2 linked regions of the Kluyveromyces lactis genome follow. The protein of the gene in region 1 interacts with the protein of each later gene in a pairwise test. Links are inferred from orthologs where the notes say so. Each region holds a gene or a part of one and is shown on either strand. Other genes may lie near its edges.

Region 1 (3,636 bases):
AGCTGTTCCTGTAATATGCTAAAACATAATTTCGTGTCAAAAAAGTGCCTAGGAAAAAGAATTCTTTTTGGAAGAGTTTTACGCTGGACTAAAGAGAAGAAAGCATTTACGTTTAACGTAACTGTAAACAAGACACAAAATGTAAACCCAATCACGCCGCCTGTTGTAAACTATTTCACATCATAAGCACGCAATCCAAACACCGTCCACCTGCAAAAAAAAACCATCTTTCGATGTTTCTCCCTCTGATCTCTTCGAGCATGTAGCTGTTGTTTACCTTTTGAATACCGCATGCTGGTTGCCAAAAAAACCCAGCATAAAGCGATCAACACGTACAAAGTGATTCTGACTTTTGTCAGATGCTGCAGTGCCAGACGGTTCCTGGGTCAGGACAGAAATTCTTCTGCCATTGTGCCGCTGTAACCACGTCCACATGCGTCGGCCAGATGTATCAGTAAACAGAACTCTTAATTTTTCTCCGTATTATGTTCGAATGCGTGTTCGTACTGAAATGCTTCTTGTCTTTCCTGTACCTTGCAGTGACCTAAATGGGCACACTGTATTCCCATTTACAAATGGTCTGTTAGTACTTTTGAATTCAATATGGCAACTTGAACAAACCCCATTGTGTAAAGGTCCTTTTTTTTTTATCTCTCTCGCAGTTCTGTTGGTCCCTTCTTCTTTCACTGAATCACTCTGTGAATTATAGGGGAATAATGCCGTATTAAGAATCGCTTCAACTTTCAATATTGAAAAATTGAAAAGTTGCGAAATGTTAAACAGACCGAAAACTTAAGAACCGTAAATTATAGTCAGCCAAACCCCCCCACTCCCTAAAGTGCATCGCGCGTTTGTGTTATTTTCATTAGAACCCATCGGTAGCTGCCTCCGTCAAGAATTGATTTCAAGTTGAACGAGTTTACACTTCTTTTGAGAAATTAATAATCATAAAGCAGTTGTTTCCGAGTATACTATGGGAGGCTTGAATTCTGCTGAGAAAGAAAAGGTTAAACATGCTTTGCCCAAGGCTTCTAACAAGATTATAGATGTTACTATCGCTAGGTTATACATTGCATACCCTAATCCAGAGAAATGGGTTTATACTGGCTTATCTGGTGCCATTGCATTGGTGGACGATATCGTTGGTAATACTTTCTTTTTGAAGTTGATCGACGTGCATGGGCATCGAGGTGTTCTCTGGGATCAAGAATTGTACGTGAACTTTCAATATAACCAGGATCGTACTTTCTTTCATACCTTTGAATTAGAACAATGTAACGCCGGGTTGTTATTCACCGATATTGGCGATGCTTCACATTTTTTGAAACGAGTACAGAAACGGGAGAAATACGCGTCCAAGAAGACCTTGGCCAACAAGAATGCAATTGCATTAGAGGACCAAATTAAGAAAGAGGAAGAGAGTAAAGTGATCCATGGTCCAAGAGGCGAATCCTTGATCAGTGACCAAAGGGTCAGATATAGATATGAACCGGAAAAGCACGAGCACCGCCAGGAACACCATTACGAGCAGCCCAGCCAGAATTATGCTTCAACTGAAAACTCAGCTTCAGATGCAAGTGCCGCTCCTCCTTCTTTTGCCTCGAAACCACCGCCACCGCCTGTCGAGAAACAACCTCCTCCTCCTGTGAGCATCCCATCTTATAAGTACGACTCTATTCCATCATTCCCAAGCTCTCCTGCACCTCCATCGGTTTCCTCTACTCATTCTCCTACCCCGGATTCATCCTATGCATCAACACCAGCACCAAGTAATCCTCCTCCACCAATAAACCACCCGGTACATGCAGTTCCTCCTCCTTTACCAGCAGAACAATATCGTCCACTGGCTCAGTCACCTCATCCGCAATTCCAGCAGCAGCATAATTCTCCTTCACCTGCAGCACCTCCTTCGATTCCGCCTATGCAGCAAAGCGTTGCAATCCCTCCTCCACCTTCCCATCCAGCTCAACAACAAAACGTCACTAATAACAACACTCCTCAGTTTGGACAATATTCTGTTGCTGGTCTGCAACCACCTCCGAGACCAACTTCAACGAGACCTGGTATTGCTCCTCCAGTTTCGAGGCGTGGTCCGGTACCACCTCCCCCTCCAAGACGCTCAGCTGCTCCGCCGTCCATTCCTTCAAGAGGTCCTCTACCTAATGCTCCAACTGGCGGTCAGCATAGTCGTACTGGAAGAGGGCCTCCACCACCACCACCACCTAGACGTGGTGGCCAGGCTCCTTCTCCACCTGCAAGCAGAGGTACAACTCATAACTCAGCCATCGGCCCTCCCCAGCCCCAGCTTCCACCACAAATGCAATCTCCTCCTCTTCAACAGCATAATACCTACAATGCAGCGCCTCCTGTTCAGCAATATCAACCACCACAGCAAACCGCATACATTCCGCCTCCCCCTGTCTTACCACCCCACTCAGGTGTAAGCACTCAGTATCACCCATCGACCGAGCCTATGTTAGCCCAACCCCAGCATCATATAGCGGTACCTAATGGCACTGCACCTCCCCCAGCACCTCCTGCCCCTCCGGCACCTTTTGCTCCACAGATAACGAACTCAGCGCCCGCACCACCACCACCTCCTCCTCCTCCTCCAGCCCCTGCATTTAATCAACCTGAAGCAGGATCTGGTTTTGTTGAAAATACTGGTGATGCTGGAAGGGATGCCTTATTAGCATCGATTCGTGGAGCTGGTCTGAATTCCCTCCGTAAGGTGGATAAATCTCAACTTGAAAAGCCAAGTCCTTTGTTACAAGAAGTTCGTAGTGATGCGCCGGTATCTCAACCCACAGGCGGGTCAACTGGCGGACCTGTTGGTGCTCCTGCGTCCTTGGCTGATGCCCTAGCTGCGGCTTTAAACCAAAGAAAGAATAAAGTTGCTCGTGACGATGATATAGACAACGGTGATGATTGGTGAAAGTAATTCACCCTACTTGAACTGCATCTGACTAGACTGTGGAATTATGATTTGGTATTTGTATGTACGGTGTACCTATATATTACTTTCAGATGCCTTTAAAACAGAAGACAGATAAAACTAAACTAATTATTCAAAGAACTCCACTTATTTGACCATACCTGTATCCATTTCAACTTGGACTCATCTGAACCGTTTAGCTGTGTAATAATTTTTATAACTTTCTTAACATCATTATTGATAGCAAGTACTGATGTTTCCACTTCTGGATCTACTTCATATTCAGCGTTCACTAAGGTGGATGAAATTAAAGTATCAGAGTTAGAAACTATTGAATTGTGGAGTTGATTTAGCTCAGATAGATATGCTGCTGTAGTTACAGTATCCTTTTTTATGGTTATCGATTTGGATAATGAACTCAACAAGAGCTTAAGGAGACGAGATTTTTGCGATAGTGATTTGACAAATTCAATCATGGATTCTGAAGCTTCCTCTTCCTCTTCTTCATCTAAATCCGTACCTTCCTCATCACTGAACTTGTCATTCATTCCGAATGGGTCTGAATTTATTACTGGATCCTCCAACCACTCTTCTAACTCTTCGATTGAATCTTGTAGAAGCTTCACTGAAGAAGACAAATACTCAGTCAAGAGTCCTAAGTTACCTTGATTTGATAATAACTCTAGGTGTTCACATTGCGA
Region 2 (3,308 bases), about 550 kb from region 1:
TACGGCCATAATAAGTGACCACAGAATCATTACTCGAAACATCGAAATTATCTCTTTCGAAAGTGACGTTGAATATGTCTCCAGGAGACAGTTTCAACGCATCTTTGCCGTTAGTGTAACCATAATTCTTTAAAAGGTTTAATAGATTAAAGTCGTCGGCTAAAGAAATTCCTGATTTCTTGGTAGCCACCAGTTGAAAAGTCGTGTTGAAGGATGCGGAATCGGTTGAATCCGTACCTTTAAGTATGATGTCGAAATATTTCGTATCTTCGTTATCATCAAGGAAGTCGGAAGAGACCTTACCTGAAAAAGTCAAAGAACTACTATCGAATGAAAGCCAATTTGGCAATTCAGAAGATTCATATGATATTTGAACGGATCCTTCGTTAGTTGATTTAAAGGTGTCATTAGAGATTTTAAACTGGAAATCCTCGTCAACTCTTGCAATTGGTGGAAGCTGTTTGTTAATAGGATAAGCTTCGTATACAGAAGCTGATGCGACGGCAAAGAGAAGTGACAGCGCCGAAGACAACAGCAACTCAGTCTTCATAACCCTAAACCCTGTATAATGAACTAATTTCCGTTCGTGTAATTTCTCTTATTCCAAATTAAAAACTAAAGTCCAGTTGAACAACTATGAGTAAACTTAGTTCCAATTTTCCTTGTATGCGTTTCTTGAGCTCTTAATTCTCTCTCTGCTATTGCTTTCAGATGAAGGCTGTCAAGGAGTGAATGAATGGATCAATGAACAACGTAGCGATCGGACAGTTAGTGCTGCTCCTTCTATCTCAAAAGTTAATGGATAGTATAACGTAAAAGCGTTACTGGATTGCAGAACCGTTAAGATGAGGAAGAAACGAATGGGCCCTGAGAATACATCTTGTTTTATTTAAGGCGGGAGCCCTCATCTCGTGAAATATATGAATATTAATTGAAAGACACCAAAAATATCACAGTTGCAAGACAGGAAAAACCATTATTATATTTTGGTATTACTTCTCAGTAAACTAACGGGCCAGTTGGAAACAATCGAAATCCTCTACAACCCTGTCTTAGCTTTTTTCATCTCACATTCTACTTCTGGTCCCCCAAATTCTCACCTACCTCAAAGTTCTGAAGATTCACTTATAATTCTTCTTTTGGCATCCTTAAAACATTTCGCGATTTCTCTAAATGTGTTACCAAAATAGGATATAACGCGAACACCGGGTAAACCAGTAGCATCCACCAAAAAGATATAAAAAAAACAGATACAAATTCTTGTCACGTGAGGGGTTGTTTGACTATTATTCAAGGTCACGTGTGTTACGTATAACGTGACTTCCCCTTTTTGTAATGTAGGTCAATGGAATTTTGATTTTCTTTCAGCACTGAAATGGGTGATATTACTGTTAAGATCAATACGATGAACTATCCAAAAGGTTTAAATTGCAATTTATTGAAGTAGATAAGGTTCCAAACGATTCAAACCGAAGAACACGCTAGAGCGATAGCAGGTATAACATATTCTTGTTTTATTTGTTCCTGTCTCTTTGACTGATTGTGAGTAACGCAGGCATACTTCAAAGAAAACATTACGTTTGAGCTCAGTGTTAATTTGATATCTGACCTCTATTTTAATCGCGCTTGACTCCACAGATAATTCAAATACCAATTTAAGATGCCAAAGCTTGAACAATTTGAGATCAAAAAGTATTGGCAAATTTTCTCCGGATTGAAACCGGTGGAAAATAAGTTGACCCATGATCAAGTACTGCCTATCCTTTTCAATTCTAAATTGGACACCTCGATACTTAACAAAATATGGTTTTTGGCCGATATCGATGATGATGATCAACTAGATTTTGAAGAGTTTGTGATTTGTATGAGAATGATATTTGACATGGTTAATAAAAACATAGATTCTGTACCAGATGAATTGCCAGATTGGTTGATTCCCGGTTCAAAAGCCGAATTAGTCAAACAAAGAAAAACTGAACGTAGTAGCGGAACAGCAGAAACAAGTTCTGTGGTCAATGTTCCGACATCTTCGCCAGCTGTAGACGATTATCAAAAAGAAGTTGATTGGTATATATCAAGAGATGATAAGTCACAATACGAATCAATTTATGAATCAGCCATAACCTCTAGAGACAATAGTGTATCTTATGTTTCACTATCCTCCGCCGTTAGATCGAAGTATATCAATCTATCATCTCAAGATTTAGAAAAAACGTGGCGTTTGGTTAATCCTAAGCTTGACACTTCCATAGATAAGGATCCAGCACTATACTTTATTCATATTCTGAGACAAGTGAACGACTATGCTTGCCCAATACCATCACATTTACCTTCAGCATTGAAAGAAACTTTTACAAAGACTAGAGTTTCCACGGATTTGTCTTCCAAGCAGAGCGAAGTAAGAAGGCCAACACTATCCACATCTAACTCTTCATCTTACCAAATACCAAAACGTGGTGGTACTGATTTTTCTGTTACTCAGGGAACTGATTGGGAAGTAGTCAGACTTCAAAGGGAATTGGCAAATATTGACTCTGAATTATCGTCAGCACAGCAACAATCCACCTCTCATAATGACTCAAATGATAGAATGAAATTAGTAAAACAACAGTTAGAACAGTTCTTGGAATACCAAAAAAACCTTGTCAATAATTCCAATACTTCTTCAGAAAGCGTTGATGTTGGAGGTTTGAGGGATGATATAGAGAGTATTGAGCAGCAAGTACAAATGTTGGAGGAGTACCTGAAAACAAAGAAGTCGGAACTGCATAATTTGAAGATAGAGGTGCAATCTCTTTACTGAGGTTATTGACCTACCCTATATACTTTCTGGAGTAAATTTTGAACTACGTTGTTTCATGTATAATGATAATTCACTTCTTAGCTTAACTTTTTGGATATTAGAACGAAATTTAAACGTTTGTGGTGATTGCTTAGTACTAATTTAATTAATTTACATATGACCGTGCTGTCTATCGGCTGTTCTTGGTTTAGCCCTGATAATATTATCCACTCTCAAGAGGACTTCGGCTGCTTCGCTGGCTGAGGTTACTACAGCTCTTTTCAATTTATAACTTTCCACGATCCCTAGTTCTCTCATGTCAGCAATGGTGCCGTTATCCAAATCCAAACCTGATGTACTCATGCCGTTGTAAATCGAAGATCTTAACTTTGTGATCAATTCACTACTATCGAAACCAGCGTTGTCCGCAAGAATAGTAGGCAATTGTCTTAGGGCTTTTGCAAAAGATTCTACAGCAAGTGCTTTCTTACCTTCAACATTTTGCCCTACTGTGTCAACAGCTTTT

Evidence for each region.
Region 2: the proteins of LAS17 (region 1) and END3 interact in binary tests that used the Saccharomyces cerevisiae proteins (3 or more experiments, as listed by UniProt). The link is inferred for Kluyveromyces lactis from reciprocal best matches to the Saccharomyces cerevisiae genes LAS17 and END3.

The regions. Positions count from the first base shown.
Region 1 is NC_006039.1:433,747-437,382, forward strand, and holds LAS17 (actin-binding protein LAS17), read left to right. Parts: upstream 1-973; coding exon 974-2,935; downstream 2,936-3,636. Other genes in the region: KLLA0_C04752g (uncharacterized protein), read left to right, coding at 1-186; KLLA0_C04796g (uncharacterized protein), read right to left, coding at 3,061-3,636.
Region 2 is NC_006039.1:982,457-985,764, forward strand, and holds END3 (End3p), read left to right. Parts: upstream 1-1,660; coding exon 1,661-2,803; downstream 2,804-3,308. Other genes in the region: AXL2 (Axl2p), read right to left, coding at 1-550; chaperonin-containing T-complex subunit CCT2, read right to left, coding at 2,954-3,308. UniProt on the Saccharomyces cerevisiae protein: Component of the PAN1 actin cytoskeleton-regulatory complex required for the internalization of endosomes during actin-coupled endocytosis. The complex links the site of endocytosis to the cell membrane-associated actin cytoskeleton.